Sus scrofa: one gene and its partners. The protein of the gene in region 2 binds, or shares a complex with, the protein of the main gene of each other region. Links are inferred from orthologs where the notes say so. Each region holds a gene or a part of one and is shown on either strand. Other genes may lie near its edges.

Region 1 (6,228 bases), on a different chromosome or scaffold from region 2:
CCCTCCCTTTCATTCCCCCCTTCCAGCCCGGTGTCTGTCACCAAATTCAAGCATCGAAACTGGGGGAGGAGGAGTTCCCACTGTGGCTTAAGAATCTGAACTGTAGTCGCTCAGGTCCAGATGGAAGTGAGGGTTCAATCTCTGGCCCCACACAGTGGGTTAAGGATCTGGCTTTGCCACAGCTGCAGCATAGGTCGCAGTTAAAATTTGTAAATTTCAAACTAATGCGAGGAGAAAAGGTAAAATGATGAAGAGGATGGAAGTTTTTTGAAAGTCAGTGCCTATGGGTAGAATTCTTTTGTATATATTTTTCTTCCTTTTTCCCCCTTTCTCTTTTTTTTTTTAATGGCTGTACCTGCAGCACATGGAGGCTTCTGGGCTAGGGGTCAAATCAGAGCTGCAATCGAAGTCCCACACCAGTCATGATCCAGTCGCATCTGTGACCTACGCTGCAGCTTGCAGCAATGCCAGACCCTTAACCCACCGAGCAAGGCCCGGGTTTGAGCCCACATCCTCACAGACACTATATCAGACTCTCAAGCCACTGAGCCATAAAGGGAACTCCCAAAAATTCTCTTGTATTGTTTAGTTGTGGTGGTACAGAGGAAGGTTAATTGGCCTTCTTCAGCCAGGCCAATTCTCAGGGCTCACTTTTGTCTCAGAAACCTTGACCATTTCTGATTTTTTAGCACTTTACTTCTTTCCCTCAACCGACCAGCTGTGCCCCTTGAATAATTGCCCCTAACTCTTAAGAAATCATCTTCTATGAGGTCTTTCTTGAGACCTTTGCTCTCAGTGGCTGAGCTATTACCTTTTGGGGAGGCTGAGTATTAATGGCTTGTTCGTGAGGCTGGCCTTGCTAAACCAGGGAGTCTTGTCAAATCTTGGAACAGAAACCTGGAGAGAAATGGAAAGAGATCATTTTGCAGGATTTATTCCTCCCGACCATTGCCATTGTTAGGATGACCAAAGTCAGTGCAGTCAACACTTTATAAAACATTTTTAAGTTTTGTATTTGACCCTGTTGACTCTCCCAAGAGTAAACAGTGTTATCTCCATTTTACAGATGAAGAAATCAAATCTTAGTGTGATTTGCTAAGTCACACAGCTAGTGAGTGAATTTAGGTTTTCTGACTTTTGTGTCTACTATATCCCTTTGCTTCTTCATTATTCCTAGCTGTTTATGTATCCTCTAAAATGTCCATGACTTCAACTGAACTTTATCAGCCTCCTATTCTAAGTGTTTGGCTGCTTTCAGTCACAGGGCCCTTCTCCCTCATCCCTTCTAGGAGACAAAGAAGAAAGAACTGTACTTTGAAGCTACAGACAACTGGATGTCAGTCTTGGTTAATGAAGCTGTAAAACAAGTGGATGTTGATATTGACTAATCCACTTTCCAGCAGCATGGCCTTGGACAAGTCACAACCTCTCCCAGCATCAGTTTTGTCTTCCGCGAAAGGACGACATTATTATCACTTCACAGATCAATGCATGAGTCAGAAAGTTCCACGAGGGCAGGAATTTTTTTTTTTTTCTATTGCTTAGCTGCTGTATCACTAGCACCTACAGCAGTGCTTGATACTTGCAGAAATTTAGTGAATGTGTCTAGTGTATTCATGGATGCTTCGAAAGTCCCTAGCCGAAGGTCTGGTTTCATAATAGAGCGCGATCAAAGTAGCCATTATAATCTCTCTTCTCCCAGTCCAGCCTCTGTCCTTTGCCTTTCTGGTGCCAAATCCCAATCTCCATGTCCAGGATTTGCTTTCCAGGCATCACCCATTCTTCTAGGGAGAGGAGCCGGGAGTTCCCTTGCGCGGCCAGGAGGGGGCAGCAGTGACCTCAAGGCCGCGCGGGCAGAGGAAGGACGCTCTGGCCGCAGAGGTTGTGGCGGCCCCGGAAGTGCTCGGCCGCCGGCGCGACCCCGGCGCCCCGGATGGGGAAGGAGGCGGGCGGCCGCCCTCGCCCGGCCGCGCACCCCTAGGAACTCGCGGGCAGGTGGGTTCCGAGTGGGAGTCAGTATTTCCGGGCCTCCTCCGCCATCCCCCGCAGGGCCGAGGCTGGGTGAGGGGTGGCGGCGGGCGGGGTACACCCTCGGGGACACCCTCCCCTTCCCCACCCCCTCCCCAGCCCTGTCCCCGACCCAGCGGGCGGGCGTTGCCCTTTTCAGCGCCTGGGACCCTCCAGCCCCCTGCGGCGGCCGTGAGATGCCGGGGCTGGGGTCCCTGCTGCGGTGAGGGAGCCTCCCAGGGCGTCTGGTTTGTGAAGCAAAACCTATCATGGTCTCCATGGAAGACGTAAGGTCGGGCCATAAGAATTTTCTTCGCAGACCTGCTGGATGATCTTGGTATTTCTGACTCTTAGTTTTGCAGTAGTGGAAAGGAGATCATTATCTCCGATCCTTCCTAGAGTTTCGCGTTAAATAAGTAGAATGATAACTCTTTTTAAGGCTGCTAAACTCGGTCAAGGGATTAAGAATCTCCAGTCCTTGGCTTTAGTTAAATAAACCTTAGAGCTTGTACCTTTATTATTATGAGGTTTTTGTTTTTAGACCGGTAACTTTTTTCAGTAATAGATGCCTCTGAGAACCCAGTAAAAGCTTTGGATCCTAGCCTTAGAAATCTGCATAAATTACAACTACAAATATGCATTGACTGGGAGGGTTGTTGAAGGGTCTGAAGCCCATCCATAGACCTCAGGGATATGTGAACCCCTGAGTTAAGAACTAGTTTAGAGGGAGACATGTGAAGCCTTTGGGAAAGAAGTTTCCTTTGAATCTGGCTCCACTAATTACCACTGTTAACTTGGGCTAAAGTTACCTAAGCACTTTGAATTGCTGCTTTATTAGTTGGGTTAATCTCCAGGATTGTGGAGATTAAATGAAAGAAGCTACGTAAGGCTCTTAGTACATAGTATGCACTCTTGACAAATGGTAGCTGCTAAGGGATTATAATGTAAAATCTGAAATGAAATTTTAATGTCCTCAGTTACATGATGGCCACCATATATATTTTGTTCAGACTTCTAATAAGCTTATGATAACCCAATAAGTTGGTTTGATTTTAACTCAGTCCTACCCTTGACCTTTCACAACATTCATAGATTCACAGTCTCTCTTTTTCTAGGAACTTGGCTATATTGTCCTGCCTCAGAGAACAAACTCATCTACTAAAGGTCTAGCCTGGGTTCTGCCTTTGAAAGCAAGGGAAGGTTGGTACCATATCAACCACATTCAACATGAAATTTCCAGAGAGGTCTTATTTCAAAACTTTATAAAGAACAAGAACCACATGGACTTCTACAACGGAGATTGAACTAGCCTGAGTTTGAGCAAAAGGATAATGTGTTCACAGCCTGTAACTAACACCAAAGAGGCCAAGTGGCAGAAGGTCTTGTATGAGCGACAGCCCTTTCCTGATAACTATGTGGACCGAAGGTTCCTGGAAGAGCTCCGGAAAAACATCTATGCCCGGAAATACCAGTATTGGGCTGTAGTATTTGAGTCCAGTGTGGTGATCCAGCAGCTATGCAGTGTCTGTGTTTTTGTGGTTATCTGGTGGTATATGGATGAGGGTCTTCTGGCACCCCACTGGCTTTTCGGGACTGGCCTGGCCTCTTCATTGATTGGCTATGTTTTGTTTGATCTCATTGATGGAGGTGAAGGACGGAAGAAGAGTGGGCGGACCCGGTGGGCTGACTTGAAGAGTGCCCTAGTTTTCATTACTTTCACATACGGCTTTTCACCGGTGCTGAAGACCCTGACAGAGTCTGTCAGCACTGACACCATCTATGCCATGTCAGTCTTCATGCTATTGGGCCACCTCATCTTCTTTGACTATGGTGCCAATGCTGCCATTGTATCCAGCACACTGTCCTTGAACATGGCCATCTTTGCTTCTGTCTGCCTTGCCTCACGCCTGCCCCGGTCCCTACATGCCTTCATCATGGTGACATTTGCCATCCAGATTTTTGCCCTGTGGCCCATGTTACAGAAAAAACTGAAGGCATGTACTCCCTGCAGTTATGTGGGAGTCACACTGCTTTTTGCATTTTCAGCCTTGGGAGGCCTCCTGTCCATTAGTGTTGTGGGAGCCATACTCTTTGCCCTTCTGCTGGTTTCCATCTCATGTCTCTGTCCTTTCTACCTCATTCGCTTGCAGCTGTTTAAAGAGAACATTCATGGGCCTTGGGATGAGGCTGAAATCAAAGAAGACTTGTCCAGGTTCCTCAGCTGAGTTTGGTGACTTCCATTCTGTTACTAAGACAAACTGATAGACTAGCCCTCCAACTAGTATAAGATTCGAAGGCAGAATTCCATTCTGGAAGCAGCATGCTGATGTGGGTGGGAGATCAGAAATCAAAAGAAAAAGTTAACCAAAGGCTTGGGTGGTGAAGGTGCTTATCCTTTCTGTTATTTTGTGGCGGGAAAAGCTTTGTGGGGCCCTCTTCAATTATTGCCTCTCATTCAATGTAACAAATGAAGTGATGTGGTTTCTATCTATTAAAAAAATTAACAACACATCCATCAAGTTGTCTCACAATTTTTCTGTAAGCAGAAGACAGACAAAAGGGACACAAAGAATATGTGTGTGGATTTCCTGTCGTGGCTCAGTGGAAACGAATCTGACTAATATCCATGAGGACGCAGATTCGACCCCTGGCCTTGCTCAGTGGGTTAAGAATCTGGCGTTGCCATGAGCTGTGGTATAGGTCACAGATGAGGCTCGGATCTGGCATTGCTGTGGCTGTGGTGTAGGCCAGCGGCTACAGCTCCAATTGGATTCCTAGCCTAGAAACCTCCATATGCCATGAGTGCGGCACTAAAAGAGAGAGAGAAAAAAAATATGTGTGCATGTAAAGTCACTTCTGTCTGCCTTTTTCTGTGTACTAAATGCAGGCTCTGTTATTTATCTCCAGCTCAAATCCTAGGACCCTGGATGCTATATCCAGTTTTGTTGCCTCAGATCACAGAATTGGTCACCTAACTGACTAGAGTTTCTACTCAGTTCTAGAAGCATGTATGTAATTAACTGCAAGGGGAGTGTGATGTATCATAATACATAAGCAAAATGCTAGGGGGATCAAAGAGGCAGGAGGTCAAAGCAAGCTGGAGTGATGAGGAAATATTAGAGGAGATGGCATTTGAGTTTAGTCTTGGAGGTTAAGTGGAATTCTCTTAAGCAAAAGATGATTTGAGGGCAAAGTAGCAAAGACCTTTAGGAGGCAGGTCAGCAATGAGCAAGTGAAGCTAGCATGCTTTGTGTGACTAATGGCAGCTGGAAAACTGCAGATGGCATGCCCTGTCCAAAGAAGGTAATCACTGCTCTGTTCTGGCTGACTGTTTCTAGTCAGAACTTTGTCCTGGCTTCATAATCCTTAGGAGTCCAGGTAAAGTTTAAATGAAGTCACCATAGCTGTAATTGTAATTACAATTACAATCTGACTTGTAAGTGCTGTCAAATTTAAATCAGACCTGATAACATGTATGCAAAATGTGACTACCACTGTGCAGTGCACCATGTATGCTCTTAGCAGGAGCATAAGGAAGGGGAAGAGTTCAATGGGAGTTACAAGGATTTGAGGAAAAGTTGGAATGGGAGATTTAACAGGGGTCTGAATATTAGGCTTTATACGCAAGTAATGAGCAATTCAGCTTATCTAAGGAGGGAGTAGGTTATTATATCTTGAGCCAATGAATCAAGTGTTCTTTGTCTCATTTTTTTCATCTGTGAAATGGGAATGAAACTACCTCTAGGACTGTGATGAGTAAATGATGTGTATGAAAAGTGCTTTGAAGAATGTCAGACACAGCTCTGAATGTGTTAGCTATTGTTTTTGAGCTGACATGTAGGGAGACTTAAAGAGGGCAGAGAGTGCAAAATGTATCAGACACCTCCAGGAATAGCTGGTTCTTCATAAAAATTCATTTGGGGCAAACTCCTGTACTATCCCTTCTCACTGGAAATTAATTTCAAGTCAGAAGTTTCATCAGGGCAGTGGTATTCCTAAGAAGTAGTGTTTTTTTGTTTTTCTCAAAAGTCTTGAACAGGATTGGCAACCTCTGTCTTCAGATCTGGCACCTCACATTCTTAGTCTGGTTTTAATTTGGACTGATGACTGTAGTGTTTCAGGGTTAGGATGGTAGTTTTCCCTAAAGCCAGTTAGATTAATTTCACAGTCCAAGGACACTGACTGATGTGGAGGGAGGGGTTTTAGAGACTGACGTGTAGA
Region 2 (7,037 bases):
CCTCTCTTCAGCTTTAAAACCTTAAGGTTCTGTGACTGTGACGTTTGTTGGGCTTTTACGCCGTGATGTTAGGCTGATTTCCTCACAAGATATTGCGGATTAATGACAGAACTTTAAATGATTTCATTTGGTTCTTTATTAACTGCTTTCATTATCGCTCATCTTTTAAAATTAAATGGAACTGGAAATTCGGGATTAGGTGACAAACCACAGAGGACGACTTAAAAGTGCAGACTTGAAGAGTGTCATGATTTGGTAGTAGTGAATCTCAATTAGTATTCAGGTCAACAAACACATAATGGAGTGTTTCTAAGACTATTTTTAAAGTAAAGATGACTGTTAATTTGCTTTTTTTGAGTTTGTGGTGAAATCGGAAACTCAGGTTCTAAGGATGGCTTCCCATTGAATAGTTGAGTTTCTGGAAGCATGGAAATCTCAACGTGTAAAGCTGAGGAAGAGTTTCACTCACTTTCCAAGCCTCTCTTTAGCTTTAAACAGCTAAGCATTGATAATCATACTGAATATTGAGCGTCCATTTTGTGCTGATGATCTTGGGAACCCCTGAGCTGAACATCTACTTTAGATGGAGAAAATGGCCCCAGGTCCCTCCCTTTGCATCTCTAGATCAGATTCCAGACGGAAGGGAGGGACGCTCCTGGAGGCAAAACCAAAATAACAAAGGTTAAGAAAATGGAGGGAGCGGCTTGATGTCATCATTCTTGAATAAGGAAGGAGAATGTGGAGGTCTGCGGCGGCGCTGCAGGTGACACTTTAAAAAGCTGCTCTCTGGAGTTCCCGTCACGGCTCAGTGGAAACGAATCTGCCTAGCATCCATGAGGACACAGGTTTGATCCCTGACCTTGCTCAGTGGGTTAAGGATCCAGTGTTGCTGTGAGCTGTGGTGTAGGTCGTAAAGGCAGCTCGGATCCCACGTGGCTGTGGATGTGGCCAGCAGCTGCAGCTCCGATTCGCCCCCAAGCCTGGGAACATCCATGTGTCGTGTGTGCGGCCCTAAAAAGACAAAAAAAAAAAAAAAAAAAAAGCTGCTCTAAAAGACCGTTCTAGGCGTTCATGCTGTGGCACAGTGGATTAAGAATCCAACTTCTGTGGCTTGGGTGGCTATGCAGGTGCGGGTTCCATCCAGGCCCGGCCTAGTGGGTTAAAGGATTCCGCATAGGTCCAGCCACGGCTCATATTCAGTCCCTGACCAGAGAACTTCTATATACCATGGGTGCAGCCATTAAAAAAAAAAAAAGAACAAGAAAGTTCTAACTCCAGGTATATCTTAGTATAAGCCACAGAATTTATACTAGCAGAACTTGAGATTCATTGAGTCGGTGGCTAAGCTCTAGAATGAGCTTCACAAACTTTTCCTGTAAAGAGCTATGTATTTAATTATTAGAATGTACTGGTTTGTTAGCATGGCAAATTATTATATAATGTGGTGTAACAAACATTATTTAAAATCCTGTAGCAGTGTTTTTAGAGCAAAATTAAGATGTAAGGGGAGTTCCTGTCATGGCACAGCGGAAACGAATCCAGCTAGGAACCATGAGGTTGTGGGTTTGATCCCTGGCCTCTCTAAGTGGGTTAAGGACCCCGCCTTGCCATGAGCTGAGCTGTGATGGAGGTCGCAGACGCGGCTGGGATCTGGCATTGCCATGGTTCTGGTATAGACCCTCGGCTACAGCTCCAATTCGACCCCTAGCCTGGGAACCTCCATGTGCCGTGGGTGCGGCCCTATGAAGACAAGAGACAAAAAAAAAAAAAAAAAGATACCAGGACATTGCAGAAGCTAGTTTTGTTATATGGCCCATAGTAAATGCTAAGCAAGCAAAGGTTGTTGAATTCATAAATTCATTATATGCTTTGTATTTCCAGGGGGAAAACAGGTTTATAGTAACGTGAAAACCATATTTATATCTGCATTTGGAGTATGGACTGTATTTTGTCTCTGAGCTGAGATCCCGTTTATTCTCTCTTTCAGGTATTAGAGGACACATATCTTAACTGGGTCCCTCCAAGGACTAATGCCTAAACCATCTCAGCATGGCCTGTAGTGGAGGAGGTGGGCCAAGCCAGCCTCCCTCACCTGCGCTCTCCTCTGTCAGCCCTGGAAGTCTTCCCACATGTAGATCGTGTTCCCATAATATATGCATGGTGTCGGACTTTTTCTACCCAAATATGGGAGGCGTGGAAAGCCACATTTACCAGCTCTCTCAGTGCCTGATTGAAAGAGGGCACAAGGTCATAATTGTCACCCATGCTTACGGAAATCGCAAAGGCATCCGTTACCTCACTAATGGCCTCAAAGTCTATTACTTGCCTCTGAAAGTCATGTACAACCAATCTACAGCCACGACCCTCTTTCACAGTCTGCCATTGCTCAGGTACATATTTGTTCGGGAGAGAGTCACGATAATCCATTCACATAGCTCCTTTTCTGCCATGGCCCATGATGCCCTCTTCCACGCCAAGACAATGGGCCTCCAGACAGTCTTCACGGACCATTCCCTTTTTGGATTTGCTGATGTCAGCTCGGTGCTTACAAACAAGCTTCTAACTGTGTCTCTTTGTGACACAAACCACATAATTTGTGTCTCTTACACTAGTAAGGAAAACACGGTGCTAAGAGCAGCACTGAATCCTGAAATAGTGTCCGTCATTCCTAATGCTGTAGATCCTACTGACTTCACTCCAGACCCATTTAGAAGGCATGATAGTGTAATAACTATTGTTGTTGTCAGCAGACTTGTTTACAGAAAAGGTAATGAAATGATAGCTGCAGTTGCACTGCACAGCCTTTTTGTTTTCCTTGTAGAAAGCTGTTGAATATTTGTGTATGATGATTGTTGGGCTTTTCGTTCTCTTGTACGGTTTTATAACTACTTCTGCATTAAATACAGCCAAGAAGGGTCCAATATTTTGTCCATCCCAAAGGAGGAATTTGTGCCACAGTGGTAAATCATTTAAAAGAGAAAACAGTAGCCTGCTGGTGAATATGTCAGGTCTTTTAAAAGTTTCCCTACACGTGCAGTAAGAACTCCAGGGCCCACTCCCCCACAGAACTGTTTCTTTCATTGCAGATATGTTGAAAACTAAGAATGTGACAGGGGTGAAAATTAAAACCAGCTATTACTGTACTATTTCAGGGATAACCCTAAGGAGTGTTTTGATTTATAGCTTTCCTTTTTATGCATATGCTCAAAGTCAGTGGGCTTGTTCTGCACGTTGCTGTTTCGTAGCTTGCTTATTTCCTTTCATCACAGATAAGACGTTAATGGCAGGTAAGTGATGAAGGAAGGGGGATGAGGCGGCCCGGAATCCAGTCCCGGCTCCATCTCGTTGTGTGATGCAAGACAAGCGGCTTAACGTCTCTGAGTTTCACGTTTTTTCCCTGTTGTGTGCTCTGGGCAGCTTGGTAACCGTGGAAGGGTTCAGTGGTTCCTATGAAGGACTTAGCCCGGGTTTTACTTCCTAAGTGTCTGCTGTTGTCGGGGATTGCTTTAGTGCCTCTGCAGCACTTTGTGGATCCCGAAGTAGAATTTGTAGAGCCTCGCCCATTCAAGGTCTGAAACAGTCCGGTTATCCAAAACATGGACTTCTCACTGGTATTTGCAAACCTCTGCAGCAATCAAAATGGTCATTAAAAGTAGAGAATTATTAAAAAGATGTTATGCACCCCCCTTTTAAACAATTTACTTAAAATGTCATTAACACGCACTGTATTGCCGGTAGCTTGATGTAGGCCTGCAGGCTTGGGAGTACAGGTGCACTGTTTGAGCTGCAGTCACCTACAAAGAGCACAATTTACTGTTGCCAGTTTGGGTCACTTAAATGCAGTGAGAACCTAAAGATGTGTGAAGTGCTGTGCTTCTGGATTTTTAATTTGTTTTTTGACTTGATACAGTGGTTCAGATTACCCTCTAATCTGACAAGAGCTTTTTTCTGTGTCTTGATCGAATTTTTCAAACAGGTCGGCTTAGTTTTGTGGAAACCCCTTTTGTCAGTTTGTCATTTAATTAAGTAATCCAACACCGTAACAAGTACATGGGGCATCACACAGATGTGTGGGCAGAGGTAGCTGATTCTTGGTAACCATGAAGCTCGGCCGTGCGATCAGAGGTTCCAGGGTACTAGGGGGTGGCCCAGGATCCAGATGGGGGCTTGGCTTCGGGTGCTTCATTTTTGGAATGCAGAGCCTAGGTCCATGCTGCCATCCACCACGCGGAGGATGATGAGAATCTTCTGAGCTGCATTTTCAGGGGTGAAGGCAATAACGTGCTTGTTCTTTCCTTGAAGGTGTGAACAGACCTGCATTCCGTGTTCTGAATCCCTCTGGGGATATTGATGATATGTTGTTGGTTGTAACTTTAAAAATGTGCCTAATTTTTTTTTTCACCGAATACTATAGCTTTGTGAGAAAGCTCGCTAAGAAAGAGTAGGATGCATGTGTGGTCAAGGATTAGAGCAAAATTAACTTACCTGTTCAAAGAGTGAACTTGTTACCTTTATTTCACTAATGATGGTATTTTAGCCAGCTGAGCTAACCACCAACACTGTGAAGGTACAACCTTTCCTGTTCTCAATTCAATAATATAACAAACCTTTATCAAACCCTCTCTGTATGCCAGGCACTGTGCAAAAAGTAACATTCTGAGAAGGAATGGCCCCATCTTTAGCCTGAAAGTGAGTAGTTGTATTAATGGTCCATTAATTATTAATAAATTAATTTCTTTAGGAGGTGTTCATTTGGACCAGATATCAAAGGCCGCTTGGAACGTATTAAGTAAGAGAGGATAAATCGAAATTCGTATCAGGATTCCTGGCCGGCCGCTTCCCTCTCCCATGGAGCCCGTTTTGCTCTCATTCGGGGTGTCGCAGCGCCCCGTGCTTGTGCAGGCACGCCGGGCTTGCTCTAGTGGTAATGACGACTCACATTTATATTCTGCAGTTGATAAAGCCTGTGCATGGTACTGTACCTCACTTGACCCTCCCACCAGCTGTAGGGTAGATGTTATCTGCATGTCACAGACAAACTGAGTCTCAGAGAGGGTAAGTAACTCACCCAGGTTACACAGTAAGTAACAGAGATGACAAACCTGAGTTCATTTCTTCTCAAGGTCTCCTGTTCCCTCCGCCCTTGGCCCAGCCACCAATATCTAGGTATAGATTCAGAAGATTCTTTAAAATATTGTTAGACTGTGCTTTAAAAGCGCTGGAATCAGAACTTGCCTTGTCCATTTTGTGTGAATACGGTGATTGAAAATCTCTTTGTTACGTTCCATTGTGTTAGACTCTTGTTAGAGGCACCAGAACCTCTTTTGTTGTGTGTGTAGGGGGGGGAACCTTTATTCTTAGAATAACGTTATAGATCATTGATAACATTAATCAGTTCCATTTCTTTTAAGGTAGTTGTCAGGATTAAATGACAGTGCATTTAAAGTACGTTTGCCTGACACAGTAAGCACTCAGTAAATGTTCGCAATTATGATTATTACTCTGTATGTTTTTTTTTCCTTTTAAAGAATGGATCTTAACCTTTGTATTAGAAGGGAGAGGGCAGGGATAGGCAAAGGAAAAGAGAATCATAGGAGGCTAAATGTTGAAAGTCATTAAGACACCTTCTGGTTTATCTGGAGATCCAGTTGATGGACTTAGTAGTAAACTTGAAACAAAGACAGCTAAAATTTTAATGAGAAGCTTTCATAATTCAGAAAAGCTACTTGTGAATTTGTTTGCTAATGCAATCATATTTTGAAAGTACTAGCAGAGTTTATTTAATAAATCCTACTTTGAATTACTTAATTAAAATGACCCATATATATTATTTCTCCTACCATCCTTTTAATAATTGATCTGCCTGTATTTGGGAAGATTGACAGACGTGCAGTTCTTGTGTGTGTGTGTGTGTGTGTGTGTGTGTGTGTGTGCGCGCGCGCATTTCTTAAATTAAGAAACTTTAAGGAGCTTATTTTACGTTTAGTTTTGAATGTGTACAATTTGTAATTGTTAATGAACTACATTCTCAAAATCAACATTGCTGTCACTTTGAATGGCCACTTTAAGACAAGCAGGGCATGCTTTATTTTACTGCTTTATGTTACCTGAGGTTGTATTTACGTATTATGAGAAAACTTTTATTTAAAAAAAAAAGGTCCAAGGTGCATCCTTTTGTTCTACGGCCTGTGATGATCTGGCACTTGCGGTCCTGCCGCCTTCATTTTCTGTCATCCAGGAGAAGTGAGCCCTAGCAGGTTTGGATGAAACTATTTCTTAGAAATTTTGCCAGTACCATAGTGTTCACTGCAAAATCCTCTGTAGCACCTGCATCCTCAGTAAAGTGGCAGTAGCAGTTATGCTTTGCTGCTCAGCCTTTTCCTATAGCAGGAAGTAGAATCATAGGCTGCTCGAATTTCATAGCTGAACGAGACCTTGGACTTTACCTTGTCTTTTCATTTTCTCTGTCAGGAAACTTTCCTATTACCAAAGAACTTGCTCATAAAAAGACTGGGACAAGACCCAGATCTCCAGTCAGCTCTCCTGCTCTGTAGAAAAGTTTAAAATGTTAGCTACCTCAAATGCTGTTTGTAACAGGCAATGTGTCAGTACAGGTGAATAACAGAGTAGCCCACGAACTGGGTGTGTGGAAGGTCACAGTGGGTGTCAGTGGATATATCTTCAAGAATTGCAAGTCTTGGGAGACCCCCCTGGCATTTTGCAAAAGAGTTCACCCGTCCAGGAAAGGTTTCAAAGAATTAGTTTGGCTACTTAAACTGTTTAAGTAGTTTCCAAAGTGAGTGGATTCTCAGTAGTTCTGATAAAATTTTAAAACAACATTAGTATCTCCAATATTCAACTTTATGTTTTCAGGGACCGATTTGCTTAGTGGTATAATACCTGAACTCTGTCAGAAATACCCTGATTTAAATTTCGTAATTGGAGGAGAGGGACCAAAGAGAATCATTTTGGAAGAAGTTCGGGAAAGATACCAGCTCCATGACAGGTATTGATGGATTCCATGTTGTCTTGGGTGA
Region 3 (7,751 bases), on a different chromosome or scaffold from region 2:
CTGATTAGACCCCTAGCCTGGGAACCTCCATATGCCGCGGGTGCAGCCCTAGAAGATGCAAAAAGACAAAAAAAAAAAAAAAAGAAAGAAAAAGAAACAGCCAGATGTATAAGGTGACATTCTAGGGGTGGGGAAGATGTAGGTGGCCAGGGTTCTCCACGTCCTGGCTGCAGTCAGAGTCATGACCACTGCTACTACTCCAGGGAGGAAACTGAGGCCCAGAAGGGCAGTTTCTTGCCCGTCTCACACCTAGGAGGTGGCAGGTCTCATCTCATAGATGAGACCAAGTTCTAACCTCCCCAGGGTCGGGTGGCTTCTGACAAGCATGCCTGAGGACAAATAACTCTGCCTCAGATAGCTCAGCTGCAAATGCAGTCGTGGATCAAATGAGGAAGTGGGCATACTACCCTCCACGGGGATCCTGGCCAGTGACGGGTGCCAAGCACCTCCCAGCCCTGTCTCCAGGCCTGGACCACCGCTCACTCCCTGCCCCCGACTCCAGTTACAGAGGAGCTTCCACAGCCAAGCTCCGGGAGAGACAAGTCACCCTGGGCCACTTCTGCTCAGAAGGGGCAGGAAGCCTCAGGACTTTGGACAAGCTGGAAAGATCCAGACCACCAGGCCTCATTCCTGCAGCAGCGCTGCGTTATCCCTAGCCCTTCTCAGCGCCAGCGCCCACTCCTGGCCCTTGTGAACCCTGGAGGCTGATTCTCTGTCCCTTCCTCTGTTCTGTGCACTCGGGGAGGGAAAGCTGGCTCCTGGCTGAGCTCAGATTCTCCTGAGACCAAGAGGGAAGGAATTGGGCTGTAGGCCCCAAAAGGTTGCTCCTTTGGAACAGTAATGCTAAGTGAAAATTCAGTGTACCAAATGGTAGGGGGAGAAGGTGCCTCTCAGCCTTGAGATGAGCTCAGACCCGAGGAGAGAGATGCTGCCCGCTGGAGCAGGCCATGCCAGGCTCAGACCTGATCTCCCCAAGTGAAGACAGCACACACGACCCCTCCAGAGGCCTGGCGTCCCCAGACACTGGGCTCTGCAGCATTCCAGAAGTCGCCAAATCTTCAGGCTGCTTGGCTATGGGAAGCTCTTACTTGTGCCAAGCCCTCATTCTGGGTCCTGGAGATACAGCAGGGACCACAGACCCCATTCTCAGGGAGCTCATAGTCATTTAGGCTGGATCCACAAAAGTAAATCAGCTAATTAAAATGCAGTTGGGAGTTCCCGTCGTGGTGCAGTGGTTAACGAATCCGACTAGGAACCATGAGGTTGCGGGTTCGGTCCCTGGCCTTGCTCAGTGGGTTAAGGATCCAGCATTGCTGTGAGCTGTGGATCCCACGTTGCTGTGGCTCTGGCATAGGCCGGTGGCTACAGCTCCGATTGGACCCCTAGCCTGGGAACCTCCATATGCCGTGAAAGCGGCCCAAGTAATGGCAAAAAGACAAAAAAAAAAAATTAAAAAATAAAAATTAAATGCAGTGACAAGTATCCTCCTGGAGACATACTTGGGGCTGTGGAGCACAGACGGAACCACTGCCCTGCAGTGAGGGCTTCCCGGGAAGTGGGGGATTCCAGTGGACCTGATGGGTGAAAAGCAGCCTCTAGCCGTGGGAAGACAGTGTTCCAGGCCTCGAGCTGAAGACCTGGTGGGTGATCTGGCCTCCAGGCCTAGGGAGGGGCCTGCACACCGGTCAGAAGGCCTGTCTGGGCTGTGGCACACACGGGACCCGAGAGGCAGAGGGGAGGGAGGATCCCCACCCCGGCCTCATTCCTGCAGTGAAGAGCGGCTCGCCAGAGAAGCTTGGCAACGGTAAAGGGGTGCCCTCACAGCCAATCAAAACCAGCCCCATCCCAGCAACTCAAGCCAGACCCTCCTCCTCCCACTCCAGGCTGGTGAATCTTTTTTTTTCTTTCTTTTTTTTTTTTTTTTTTGCAAGCAAGCAAAGTCTTTATTACAGGAAAGCAAACAGCTCCCAGGACAGCTGGGAAGGGCAAGAAGAGCCCCACTCTCTATTGGGGTTTTTATCCCTTAAAGATGGGGGGGGGGTAACCAACGTGAGGTCCAGAAAGCTGTGGTTTTCTCCCATTGGCCTTGCCCAGTTCAGTCCTTGTCCAATAGGGTCTTAGGGGTGGAAATGTCCCGTAAGTCCCATGGTGTCTTTGCCCTTCTCTTCCCGTAGCCTGAGTCAGGGGGCTTTGAGATTAATGTCCGTCTGGGCGTAGGTACACTCCCTGGAGGAAACAAGGCATGTGGGGATGTTACTCCCTGGAGCCCTTTAGCCGCAAATGTTAATCAATAGACATATCCAAGAATGCATCGAAGCCCAAGCTCCTAACACTGACTACCTGAGTGACTATTCTGCCTCAGTGCCCCCCCCCCCTGCCCCCAGAGTTGGAGACTTTAACTTTGGAGGCGGGGGGACAATGACCGACTGCTCTGACTGCTTCCTGCTGACAAGGGGTGTCCTTAGGGAAAGTGGTTAGGTCTCCACTCATGGCACGGTCGGTTGAGTGGGCTTCAATACATTACCTTGGGTACCCTTTCTTTCACTATCTGTAGGTTGATAGCTTTTAATCAGGACATAACAAAGCAAGACCTACAATTAATTATCTAGGGTCCAAATAAAAGGCTCAAGATCACAATGATGACTATGGTGAACAAATATTTCCATCAGGAGGAGGAGGAGGTCAACCCGTTCCAGAGGGCAGCTCTAAAAGCTGGATGGAGCTGGATCAGACATCTCACGAATCTGCTGCCGGAGATCTCGCAGGGAATCAGACACGTTCTGCGAATAATCAGGAATATAGGCACAACATTCAGATTTTATGACAGCACGGGTACCTCCTTGGCCTGCACTGAGTATGTCTAAGGCCATTCGGTTTTGCAGCACTACTTTTCTTATTTGTTTTTGTTCCATATTTAGGGTAGGAATAGCTTCTGCAGTATCATTAAGAGATTGTGGAGTAAAATTAGTTAAGGCTTCCACCCTCAGCATTATCCGGTGAACGTTTGTCTGCACCCTACCCTCAACAGAAGAGTTGGGGCCACCACACCAGGAAGTAGCGCCCTCGGGTTCTGGAGTCGGCTGCACCCTCTACTCGGATTGTGATCTTCAAGTGCTTGCCTCTTTCTGAGCCTCATTTTCCCCGTCTCAAATATGGGACTTTCGACCCCCCACCCCATCCCGCTCTGGCCTTGGGACTCGGATATTGAGATGGGGTTTTTTTCTGGGTCGAGTTCGACCCGACTGAGACCATAAATGCAGCCTATCTGGGTTCCCCACTGGGTCCCATTTCCCAGGGTGATTCGGAAACACGGCCCACAATACTCTTGAAAACTACATTTCCCGAAATGCAAAGGGGAGGCGGTGCCTGCCTGTCTTGGGCGACGTAGTCCTGGGACTGCCTAAAGACTACGACTCCCGACGGGCCCCGCGGCCCAAGGCCAGGAGGGCCCGGATGCGGAACCGGATGTGGCTTACGGCTCCGGTGCCTGGAGCGCTGGGGAAATGGTGAGCTTGGGGCTGGGAGTCCTGGGAATGAGGGCGTCTGGGTGTGGGGTCCTAGGTCTACTCAGAAGCTGAGGCTTGAGCTCTCGGGAGCCGGGATCACTCTCCCGCCGGCCCATCGTACGGGTGGTAGGTCTTTAGCCTGCACTCTGTCTCAAGCCAGGAAATGGAAACCTCGTCAGCCACGTCGGATACGCCTGCTGAGTGAATGGGCGTAATCAGGCGGCAACTCCCCCCTCCGTTAGTGCACCTAAATGGAGGGTCACTTCCTCAGTTGAGCTTTCCCTTTTCTCCAGGCCACAGGGACAGACCAGGTGGTGGGACTCGGCCTCGTCGCCGTTAGCCTGATCATCTTCACGTACTACACCACCTGGGTGATTCTGTTGGTATGTGTGCTTCCTCGTCCGCTCTCACCTCCTATCCCTAGATCTTGAAGCCAACTCCTAACATTTAAGCACGTGACAGGCCTACCTGCCCATGTAATGAAAGCGTCAGAGCAGCAGTAGGAGGACGACACTAGCGGTGTCCCCATTGTATAGATGACGAAGCCGAGGCTCAAGGAGAAGGTTCAGACCTAAGGTAGAATCCTGAACCACTACACTGTAAGGTCCTGTGCCTTTAATGGGAGTTCTAGTCCTTCTGGTTATCCTGCGGGCTCCTGGGCATGACAAGTGCCAATGGGTTTTGTGAGGGTCTTTGGGATATCCCCCCCCCCCCCGGTGGAAAAATGTGTTAAAATGTGCAGTGTGTTTGGGAATCAAAATCTTTTTTTTTTTTTTTTTTTTTTTGCCTTTCTAGGGCCGCTCCCGTGGCATGTGGAGGTTCCCAGGCTAGGGATCGAATCGGAGCTGTAGCTGCCGGCCTACACCAGAGCCATAGCAACGTGGGATCCAAGCGGCATCTGCAACCTATACCACAGCTCATGGCAACGCCGGATCCTTAACCCACTGAGCAAGGCCAAGGATGGAACCCACAACCTCATGGTTCCTCGTCGGATTCGTTAACCACTGAGCCACGACAGGAACTCTGGGAAGCAAAATCTTGCAGAACTTGATGTTCTTTGGGAGAAAAATCTTAGTAAAGAAAACTTTTGTGGAGTTCCCGTCATGGCGCAGTGGAAACGAATCCAACTAGGAACCATGAGGTTGCGGGTTCAGTCCCTGGCCTTGCTCAGTGGGTTAAGGATCCGGCATTGCCATGAGCAGTGGTGTAGGTTGCAGATGCGGCTCAAATCCCGCATTTCTGTGGCTGTAATGTAGGCTGGCAGCTGTAGCTGCGATTCCACCACTAGCCTGGGGACCTCCATATGCCGAGGGTGCAGCCCTAAAAAGCAAAACAAAAACAAAAACAAAAGATCTTGGAGCCCAGATTGGGATTCCTCATGTACCCTTTGCCCCTGCTAAGCTGTGGGGGACTTAAGCCAGGTCCCCAGCAGCAGCTTAGAGCAGGCACCAGGGAAGTACCTAGTATACCACTTGTAGAAAAATGAAGGAAGGGAACCAACCAAAGCACCCAAGATGCCATCATCTTAAAGAAAAGCAAATGCAGCCCCAGCGCTTTGACGGGGTCAGCCCCTGAGACAGAGGAGGTGGGATGTTTGGGCTTGGGGCGCTCAGCAGAGCCAGGCATGCTCACCGGAGCTCTGCCCTTGTGCCAGCCATTCATTGACAGTCAGCATGTCATCCACAAGTATTTCCTGCCCCGGGCCTATGCTGTTGCTATCCCGCTGGCCGCCGGCCTCCTGCTGCTCCTCTTTGTGGGTAAGTTCTCCCAACCCTGGGCGGGGTGTCTGAGGGACCCCATGACCCTCTCCTACACCTGAACATGCGGCTGTACTTTGGCCCCTGCGGTACACCTGCTGGAGGCTCCTTGCCCTCAGTTCACCCCCTGGGGTTTCCGTGTTCATCCCTCAGGGCTGCAGGCTTCTCGATCCTCAGGCTCACTGGACTCTAATGGGGTGTCTCCTTGTTTCCTGCTCCTTCCACCACCATCACCCCTCACCCCCTTGTCACTTTGGCCTCTGATTCCTGCACCCCTCTGACTCCCAGGGTTTAGTGTGTGGGCTTCCTAAGGCCAAAGACTGTATCTTCATCATTACTGTGTCCTCAGTGCCCAGCACATGCTGTGGCACTGAGTTGGTGCTCAAAAAAGTCATTTGAGTGAGTCAGCAATCAGGTGTCTGGATGATGGGGTAGGTGGATGGTAGGTGCTGAGTGGGCAGCTGGGGAGGTAGGTGGCCAGATGGTTGACTAGCTGAGTCGATGGATGGTTGGGTGGATCTTATTCCCTGTAAAATCGGAAACACAAATCCAGCAGGTGGCCTGTGGTCAGCCCTCGGCTGATGTTTGTTGAATGAATATAGGTGGGGGTGTGGCTTAGCGAGCCACTTGGGAGATGACCGGGGGAACCTGGAGGGTGGCTGGGTCGGTGCCTGGCCCCGCCTGCGGGTCCCTCTGTCATGCTCTGTCCTGCTCCGGCCTCCCAGCAGCCCTGAGCCAGGACCTTAACTGGCCTTTCTGGCCCGTGTGTTCCAGGAGTGTTCATCACCTCCGTGATGCTGAAGAGCCAGAAGGTGACCAAAAAGGCTCAGTGAGGGCCTGGCCGATATAAGGCTGCGGCCCTTTCCGTTTCTTCGCCAGGGCAGACCCAGGCGGGGGGCCCACAGGACCCATCCAGGCCCTGAGGCCCCCCTCAAGCCCAGCTGCCCTGAAGGCCCCCCCCGGCCCAAGGGGGACGGAGCTGTTCAGGACTCGCCCCCCAACTGCCCAGAGCCCCTCCCCTCCCCTCCTCCCCCTTCCAGAAGCCAGGAGGGAGGCGTCCCTGGAAGTCTCCCTCTCACCCCCTTCTGGCTCAGTGCCCGAAAGATGCAGCTCATCGCCCCTGCCCTCCGCCACCTTCGGACTCCCCGGCACTTTTCCCTGCGGGTCTACACTCTTGGCTCACTTCCCCACCTGTCACATGCTGGTGTTGGACTTGGCAGGTTCTGGGCCATCACAGGACCTCTCCCCACCAACCCTGCTCCTCCCCAAAGGCTGCTTTCCCAGGTCTGACATAGGCCCAGGCCCTGCGAGGATTTCTGGACCTGGAAAGCTTGGGGGGAGGCCTGACAGGCTGCCGGCACATTAGGGCGGCCACGGTAGGGCCCCCCATTGACTGCTTCTTGTGGAGGCCCAGCCCCCAGCCCCGTCTGTAGTGGGGGCGGGGGGGGGTACAACAATAAACGTTGACGGTGTGTTTGTCTCAGTGCCATCCTGACCGGGGGAGCTGGGCGGCCCAGGGGCTGGAGAGGGGGCTGGGAGCTGGCTTCTGCCTTGGTCTCAGGTCAGGAGACCCTGGTTTGTGCAATGAGGGTGCCTCAGGGGCCTCCTGGGGTTGTACATGGGTCTGGCCTGATGCTGCTCCCGGGGAGTCCGTGGGGCATGGCAGTCTGCCAACGCCACATCACCCTCTCCCCTGCCTCATCTGTGCCAGCTCAGCCAGCACGGCCTGGTATTTTAAGGACCCTCAGGCCAGTCCTCTGAAAGCTCAAGCCCATCATCTATCTCTGGTACCCGGCCGCCCAGCTTAGCGTGGCTCTGAGCAGCGAGGGCTGCTGTGAGCCAGAGCAGGGCTGGTTCCACTGTGTTTAGGTTGGCTGGCACAAGCCCCAGCCCCAGTCCCCGGCAGTGGCACCGTGTCCCTCTGGGCAGCCAGCTCTCCTGTCCACAGTGCCTAGTGTAAGCCTTCATCCCCTCACATCGTGGACATTCGTTCTCCCCCGCTTAGCAGAGGGGCCGCCCTCATCAGAGAAAAGACACCAACTGCCGTTACACCTGCCTGTCCTTCCCTGTTCCTCTCTGCACCCTCCGGGCCAGGCAGAGCTGCTGGCCAGGGCTCTGGGTCCTGTCTCCTCCCACTGCTGTAGCAGGAACCTCATGTCTTAGGATCCCTCTCAAGGGAACAGCCTCTTCCTCCCAGCTGGTCTGCTCAGGGTTCGATGAATGTGTTACAGGCTCCATTTAAGGGATCCCCCCCTCTCTGCCCCATCAACCCAGTGCTTCCCTCCAGGTCTCTCTCCTTCACAGCCAGGCTTCCCAAAAGGAAGTCCCGGCATTTGCTCACCTCCACGGTGCTTGGCAGCATTCTAGGAGGGCCGCACTCAGACCACCTGTGACGTCCAATCTTTAAATCCAAAGCATGTTTCCTTGGCCCCCCTCTGCGATGTTGGCCAGTGACATCCCCCGGGTGCACCTTCAGAGGCTGGATGAC
Region 4 (7,636 bases), on a different chromosome or scaffold from region 2:
GGTATTTATGGGACTTGATTTTTTTTTTTTTCTTTTTAGGGCTACACCCACAGCATATGGAGGTTCCCAGGTTAGGGGTGGAATCGGAGCTACAGCTGCCAGCCTACACCACAGCCACAGCCACACAGGATCCCAGCCATGTCTGTGACCTACACCACAGCTCACGGCAACACTGGATCCTTAATCCACTGAGCGAGGCCATGGATCAAACAGGCGTCCTCATGGATACTAGTTGGGTTTGCTACAGCTGAGCCATGACAGGAACTCCAAGGGATTTGATTATTATTAGTTTGTGGCTGCATCTGCAGCATGTGGAAGTTCCCCAGCCAGGGACTGAATCCCAGTTGCAGCTGTGGCAACCCTGGATCCTTTAACCCTCTGAGTCAGGCTGGGGATTGAACCTGCACCTCTGAAGCAACCCAAGCCCCTGCAGTTAGATTTTTAGCCCACTGCACCACAGCAGGAATGCCTATGGAACTCGCTTAAAATGTATATTCTAGCCTCTCCACTGCCTGGAGATTTCTAACTCACGTAATGGGTGTGATAACCTAAGAGTTATGTTTCAGTATTATCCACACTGGAAATTATCAAAATTCCACGTTCAGTTAAACTAAAGGTTCCCAGTGGTATACTGTGATTTCCTTTCTTATCAGAATTTTCTCCATCTTCAGCATAAGGAATTCCACCGATCTGCTGACATTCTTATAATGTGTACTCTGTACCAGCCCCCATGCTAGCTGCTTGACTTGTATGAATTGATTTAATCCCCTCAACGACCCTAATAAGGTAGGTAGTATGATGATACTATTTTACAGATGAGAAGATTGAGGCAAAGAGTTTTCAGAGGTCACACAGCTAATATGGTACCTAAGCCCAGAGCTCTGTGATGGGAAAGATCCGAGCCATGCCAATAGTAAAAAGGACCCATTTCACAATTTTATACAATTTATACAATTTTATACATTCAGCTCAGGATACTACCATGCAGAAATAAGTTGGATTCCTTAATTTCTGAGGGCTGTTGAGAAACATTTTTGCTTTGACATCTTGCAACTTCATATTTACATGGTTTCGGCTAATACTTCACACTCTCAGATGTTCCTTAAATACTGGATGTTGATTTGGGGTGTTATAAACTTGAGATATTGTCGATATTTTGCTAGTACTCTCCATTTCTCCCCAATACTAATATAAATTAAACTGATCTGCTTCCAACCTTCTTCGTGGATGCACACTGAAGCTATTTATAACTGGTTAGAAAACTCAGTTGATGAGGCTCTATCAGCCAGGTGAGGTGAGTTGAGACTAAAAAGCTTGTCTTAAGCATGGGTGCTTGCTCCTACCTTGGGGGCTGGGTTCCGGCCTGGCCCACCAGAGCTAGCCAAAGTCAAGCTCTGCATTGCAATACCTTGCTGAACCCTCTTTCCTATACCTCACTCCTTCCCTAGAGCCCAAGGTATCAACTAACTACACCTGAAAAATTAATTCCTACTATGGTCTAGTGGGAAATAACATAGGAACTTAACAACGGGACCTCTTGAGGCTACATCCCTGACAGCTGCCTCAGGCTGAAATCTTTTGCACATTAGTGAACAAAGAGCATCCAATGATGTAGTAGATTTTTTAAAGTAGAGTGAACAGACAACACAAATTGCCTCTGCTTTTGCACTGCTGAGTGGAAGAGAAATTTGGACATACAATCTTGTATGTGTATCTATATATCCCTCAACTCCTATCCCCACCTCCCAGGAGCTCAAAGTGTGAAGTGGTAAAGCCCCAACGATGCAAGAAAAGATTCAATATTTAGCGAGACAACGAGAAAATTTGGACGTTCCCCTCGTGGCTCAGCAGGTTACGAACTCAACTAGTATCTATAAGGATGCGGGTTTGATCCCTGACCTCGCTCAATGGGTTAAGATCTGGCTTTCCTGTGGCTCTGGTGTACGCTGGCAGCTGCAGCTCGTATTTGAGCTCTATCTAGCTTGGGAACTTTCATGTGCTGCAGGTGCGGCCCTAAAAGGACAAAAAAAGGGGGTGGATTTTGATGACTAACCAAGAATCTTCTAGTATACTGGGCTGCAAAGAATAGAGAAAATAAAAATGACAACATATGCCATTAACTGAGCATTCATTTGCCACAGGCATTTTTCTAAATACTCTTTGCATTCATTAGCACATTTTAAGCCCCAGGATGGAATTATATGAGGTAGGAACAATAATTAATCTAATTACACAGATAAGAAAGCTGGGGAGGGAGTTCCCGTCGTGGTGCAGTGGTTAACGAATCCGACTAGGAACCATGAGGTTGCGGGTTTGGTCCCTGCCCTTGCTCAGTGGGTCAAGGTTCCGGCGTTGCCGTGAGCTGTGGTGTAGGTTGCAGACGCGGCTCGGATCCCGCGTGGCTGTGGCTCTGGCGTAGGCCGGCGGCTACAGCTCCGATTCGACCTCTAGCCCGGGAACCTCCATATGCCGCGGGAGCGGCCCAAGAAATGGCAAAAAGACAAAAAAAAAAAAAAAAAAAAAAAAAAGAAAAAGAAAAGAAAGCTGGGGAGTTAGGAGATTTGCGGGAGCCCTACAACTAGTAAACGATGCACCTGGGACCAAGGTGTCAGGCCCGGACCCCCGGCACTTACCTCCTACACTATAAGAAAGAGATCAAATCCGCATCATTTTCTGGGAGAGTCAGAAGCAAATGCGGGGCGAGAAAAAAACCACTGTGTGGATCACCCACTTAATTAAAGGACACAGTTACTTAGACTCCTTGCGGTTTCCAAGCTCATTTACAGAAGCAAATGAGTGGTGCTATTATTATGCCATTGAGCCCAGGGTAAGAAACTGGGCATCTTAAGTTTAAGAGGACTAAGCCATTCTTTTCCCGTTCTTATATTTTTTTTAATGAAAGGAGAAAAAAAAAAAGCCAAACAAGGTTATAGGAAGTGTGGTACTGCAAAGACTGACAGATACACATAAAACAAGTAATGCTTTTTAACATACCCAGTGTGACAGTGTGTTGGAAACCTCCTTTTGGTGATAACCACGGAGGTCCAAGTCTATCACTGTGTGACTCTGAGGTCCGGCCACTGGCTTCCTGGAGGCCCTGCGACAGGCCCTGGTGAAAACTCAGGACGCCTCCACTTGAGCGTGGGTTTTGTCTGCAACCTGCAAACGGGCAGGAAGAGCCGCAGAAAGCCCAGGCTGCAGGCGGGGCTCTCCATACCGAGCGGTGCCGCGGGAAAAGCAGTCGGGTCCCGAGCGCCCTCGGAACCAAAGAGCGGGCCTCCAGCCGTCGGGGGCAGCGTTTCCCGAGCACCGGGGGGCGGGGCCTGGCCGCCTGGGCGGGACTCCCCGGGATCGGCTGGAGCGGCCGGAGCGGCCCAGGGGGTGCGGAGGTCCGCGCGCCGGCGGCCAGACCATGCTGAGCGGAGCGCGCGGTCGGCTCGCCTTAGCGCTGCGAGGGACACGCGCGCCGCCGTCCGCGGTCGCCAGGAGGTGCCTGCACGCTTCGGGCTCGCGGCCGTCCGCGGACGAGAACAAGAAGGAGGGGAAACCGCCACGCGCCTTCGACCCGGCGCTGCTGGAGTTCTTGGTGTGCCCGCTGTCCAAGAAGCCGCTCAGGTAAGATTCGTCCGCTGCGGCTTTTCCCTGGTGGCCCCCTGTCGCCGGGGAGACGTTCAGGTCACCCGGGTGTTCTTCGCTGCCATGTTTTGGACCCGGGCCCGCCAGCTTCCCGGGTACTCGCTCCGCCGCGGGAAGGGCGGGAGGAGGCCCCAGCCGAGCCCCAGGCCTCCCGGACCAAACCGGCCACTCGCAGGCCTGGATCCTGGCGGGCAGCTTCTCCGCCGGCAGCGTTTTAGAATCTCGGGGGAATCCTTCTTAAAACGCAGATCTCTAGGCAACGCCCCACCCGGGCTCAATCCGAAGGCCTTGGGGCCGAGCCAGAGCAACTGCGTATTTTCTTGAAAGGATCCCAAGTGATCTTCCTGTACAGCCAGGGTTATGAACTCGGGATTCGGAAGACTAATCCATGGCATTCAGATTTTTAAGGCAAGGCGATGAAAAATGTGATAGCTTCCAGATTGTTGCGAAAACGCCGGGTAGGATCTTAAGCGCATCAGCTACGTGTGCGGCCCTTTGGTTTTTAGTTCTCGACCAGCCGGTTCTGTAAAGGCCTTCTTAACCTTTCACCTAGACTCTTTAGGATAAACATCTCTGCAGTTGCAGGCTGCTAAACCTGAACGTGGACAATACTAGCAAACACCGCAGTGTCATCAGTGGCTGCCTTTGGGTGGTAGATTGCTGCTTCCGTGGTTTCCTTCTCATGGATCAGTGAGGCAGGTGTTCTGATAAGCGAAGAAGCTGAATTTTCCTCTCGTGTCTGTTCCAGTAGTAAATTAGCTGGGATCGTTTGAGGGTTTAAAAGAGTCATGAAGGAATATTTGGATGAAAAGGAGAGATCTTTTCTTTTTTTTTTTCCACTAAGGCATAGCTTAAGAATAACGTGAAAAAGAAAATGAGAGAAACAGACTAAAATGGGAACAATTAGAGATTCCTTTTCTAAGAGAAATGGTTGAATTGGCTACTGCTGCTTTTAGAATGAAAAACAGTCTAATTCTGCTTTTCTGGCTCTAACTGTGTGAAGAATTGGATAAATGTTACTGTTTATTGAACCTCAGACTCTTCCGGGATTCATTTTGGTTTTCTTCTGCCCCTCAGATATGAACCATCGACAAATGAATTGATTAATGAAGAGCTGGGAATAGCCTATCCGATTATTGACGGGATTCCTAATATGATACCACAGGCAGCTAGGATGACACATCAAAATAAGAAGCAAGAAGAAATGAAGCAGCACTAGGTCATACGTAAACACAACACAAGGAAATTTTCTAAACACCATCCACCTTCGAAGAAGCCAGCGTGGCGGGTGGTGGGTGGGAGAGAAGAATGTTTCTGTCTCTTCCCACGCTGACTGTCCTTGTCCCCCTGGTCTCTCTGGGAGGACTGCTGTACTCCGCCTCCGTGGAAGAGAGCTTCCCCCAGGGCTGCACCAGCACAGCCAGCCTGTGCTTCTACAGTCTGCTCCTGCCCATCACCATCCCCGTTTACGTGTTCTTCCACCTCTGGACTTGGATGGGTATTAAACTCTTCCGGCATAATTAACGCAGCCGGAGCCACGATGGTATTTAAACTCATGATATGCTTGAGTGAGTGTGTCCGAAAGCTCCGCCACATGGAAATACTGGAAACCCAGACTTTGCAGGAAAGAGGCTTTGCTTATTAGCCTTTGTCAGAGGTTTAGGACTATGTGACGTTTAAGCTGCAAGAGGCTTCTTTCTTGTATTTTGGTTCTTCCCCTGCTTTTTGAAGGTTCTGATTTATACCTGGTCTCTCGGAAGAAACATTTCAACAAAGTGGCTTGTTGGAAATTAGCACCCCCACAGCCATCATCTGATGGCTTGTTCTTATCCCATTCATAATTAAAAATTACTAATTCGAAATTGTAGGTTTGTTTTTAGGTTCAAAGCCTTTGGTAAAGCCACATGTGAAGGATGACTGAGATAATTCCAAGGAGCTATGGGGAGTAATTGTAGAGAAATGCATTTGGACTAGTGTGATATAAAACTATAATAAAATGTAAATTTCATGTACTTGCCAAAATTCTGAGTTGGTAAAATTGCCTTCATTTCTTTGGCATCAGATGGCTTACATTATTAATAAGATATTGACATTTTCCATAAAACAATTTGCAGTTTTGTGTTTGGTTTTTTTTTTTTTTTCCTTTTGGTCACAAGAATATAATTCAAAGACAAGGAAATTATATGTTTAGAGAGGCACCCAAAATAGAACAGAATTTCCCAGGAAAGTATGTGCTGTGAGGAGAGGTGGAATTGAAAGACTGGCAAATAGCTGATTGTGTCCTGTTGAGTTTAGTTAGGGCGATTATTGAGCCACATTTCAGTTTATTTTTCTGCCATAAGAGACCTATTTATTTAGCAATACTAAGGGCATGAGCATTTGACACATTAATAGTTATTGATTTTCCAGAATTTTCAATAAGACTGATTAGTACAATAACTGTTTCAGAAGTATAACAAATGTTTCAGTATTTACCCTCATGAAGCCTAAGAACTCAATGTAACCTTAACTGATTCTTAATAGAATTTTAAAGTAGTGTAAAAGAAGCTTTAGACAGTGATTCTTCCCCTTAAAAAGAAAATTTAAAACATGAGGTTAGGCATTCCCGTCGTCGTTGTTGTGGCTCAGTGGTTAATGAATCCAACTAGAAACTGGGGGGTTGTGGGTTTGATCTCTGGCCTCTCTCGGTGGGTTAAGGATCTGGTGTTGCGATGAGCTGTGGCGTAGGTCGCAGATGCAGAGCAGATCTGGCATTGCTCTGACTCTGGCTCTGGCTGGTGGCTACAGCTCCAATTAGACCCCTAGCCTGGGAAGTTACATAAGCCGCATGTGCGGCCCTAGAAAAAAATAAAGTATAAGGTTAGATGTGTTTTCTGTTGCATTAATTCAGTGTATACACTATAGTGCAAGTCACGTTTTAAAAATTACCCTGGGGGGTTCCCGTCGTGGTGCAGCGGAAACAAATCCAACTTGGAACCATGAGGTTGCAAGTTCGATCCCTGGCCTCGCTCAGTGGGTTAAGGATCAGGCGTTGGCGTGAGCTGTAGTGTAGGTCGCAGACAGGGCTCTGATCTGGCGCGGCTCTGGTGTAGGCTGGCAGCTGTAGCTCTGATTCAGCCCTTAGCCTGGGAACCTCCATGTGCCTTGGGTGCAGCCCTACAAAGAAAAAAAAAATTGCCCTGGGGAAAAATACAAATAATCAGGAGACAATAGAAGTACCTGTCATTTCCTGAAATGGTATTACTGTTCTTTTTAATTTGCCCTAAATATCTCTATAGTCAGTGTAAATGAAACCATTTTGCTGAAAGAACAAGCACCCTGTTCTGAAAAGTCAGTTTCAGCTTGCAAAAGTTAAGCATTTTAATCATTTTGGAGGAAACTGACTAGTGTCTCCCTGGGGGACCTCAGTGTTAACTCTATCCTTTCACTAGTAGAATTCCTCTAGCAATCACTCGTATAGTACAAGCTACATAAGGGATAGTTCTAATGAGCATATCACACACAAATATGAGGGGTTGGGTAGGAAGTATCGGCACCATTTTACAGGTAGGGAAACTAGAGCACAGAGATTAAGTGGTTTACCCAGAGTAACAATTAATACTTGAACTGAAGTTGAAACCACTTGGCGGTGTGACTTGCCTTCTCAGTCCCTGCAGAGCGAAGCTTTATTTTGAGCAAATTCATCTTTTCTATTTATGTGAAAAATGGAATGAGGAATCAAAATGCTTAGATTCAAATTCTGGCCCAAGCCTGACGCCCTTACTGTTTTCCTAAGTCCCGTATGTTTTTCGCTCTATTCTAGCACTTAACCTTGCACGTAAGTGCCTGTTTTTGATAGTAAATTGTTGGTTTTTAACCGAATGCTTAGCCCAGAGGCAGTAAGCACTTCCGAGAGGCAGAGGCAGTAAGCACTTCCGAGAGGCGTGAACGCATGGCTCCGACAAGCCTTCTAACTAGGCAAGTTCACATCTCGGCGCGTCATCCTCAGGCCCCCGAATCC

Evidence for each region. Proteins that work in one complex are often made in the same cells at the same time.
Region 1: PIGA (region 2) and PIGC share a complex: the UniProt entries of both Homo sapiens proteins name them as parts of the glycosylphosphatidylinositol-N-acetylglucosaminyltransferase (GPI-GnT) complex. The link is inferred for Sus scrofa from reciprocal best matches to the Homo sapiens genes PIGA and PIGC.
Region 3: PIGA (region 2) and DPM2 share a complex: the UniProt entries of both Homo sapiens proteins name them as parts of the glycosylphosphatidylinositol-N-acetylglucosaminyltransferase (GPI-GnT) complex. The link is inferred for Sus scrofa from reciprocal best matches to the Homo sapiens genes PIGA and DPM2.
Region 4: PIGA (region 2) and PIGY share a complex: the UniProt entries of both Homo sapiens proteins name them as parts of the glycosylphosphatidylinositol-N-acetylglucosaminyltransferase (GPI-GnT) complex. The link is inferred for Sus scrofa from reciprocal best matches to the Homo sapiens genes PIGA and PIGY.

What each region holds. Positions count from the first base shown.
Region 1 is NC_010451.4:114,823,089-114,829,316, reverse strand, and holds PIGC (phosphatidylinositol N-acetylglucosaminyltransferase subunit C), read left to right. Parts: upstream 1-3,338; coding exon 3,339-4,232; downstream 4,233-6,228. UniProt on the Homo sapiens protein: Part of the glycosylphosphatidylinositol-N-acetylglucosaminyltransferase (GPI-GnT) complex that catalyzes the transfer of N-acetylglucosamine from UDP-N-acetylglucosamine to phosphatidylinositol and participates in the first step of GPI biosynthesis.
Region 2 is NC_010461.5:11,878,734-11,885,770, reverse strand, and holds part of PIGA (phosphatidylinositol N-acetylglucosaminyltransferase subunit A), read left to right. Parts: exon of another isoform or gene 1-845; intron 846-1,987; 5' UTR 1,988-2,049; coding exon 2,050-2,767; intron 2,768-6,873; coding exon 6,874-7,006; exon of another isoform or gene 7,007-7,037. UniProt on the Homo sapiens protein: Catalytic subunit of the glycosylphosphatidylinositol-N-acetylglucosaminyltransferase (GPI-GnT) complex that catalyzes the transfer of N-acetylglucosamine from UDP-N-acetylglucosamine to phosphatidylinositol and participates in the first step of GPI biosynthesis.
Region 3 is NC_010443.5:268,419,262-268,427,012, reverse strand, and holds DPM2 (dolichol phosphate-mannose biosynthesis regulatory protein), read left to right. Parts: upstream 1-3,455; 5' UTR 3,456-3,503; coding exon 3,504-3,506; intron 3,507-3,799; coding exon 3,800-3,889; intron 3,890-5,160; coding exon 5,161-5,263; intron 5,264-6,037; coding exon 6,038-6,096; 3' UTR 6,097-6,740; downstream 6,741-7,751. UniProt on the Homo sapiens protein: Regulates the biosynthesis of dolichol phosphate-mannose. Regulatory subunit of the dolichol-phosphate mannose (DPM) synthase complex; essential for the ER localization and stable expression of DPM1.
Region 4 is NC_010450.4:130,524,231-130,531,866, forward strand, and holds PIGY (phosphatidylinositol N-acetylglucosaminyltransferase subunit Y), read left to right. Parts: upstream 1-3,340; 5' UTR 3,341-3,412; coding exon of another isoform or gene 3,413-3,615; intron 3,616-4,713; coding exon of another isoform or gene 4,714-4,855; 5' UTR 4,856-4,944; coding exon 4,945-5,160; 3' UTR 5,161-5,753; downstream 5,754-7,636. UniProt on the Homo sapiens protein: Part of the glycosylphosphatidylinositol-N-acetylglucosaminyltransferase (GPI-GnT) complex that catalyzes the transfer of N-acetylglucosamine from UDP-N-acetylglucosamine to phosphatidylinositol and participates in the first step of GPI biosynthesis.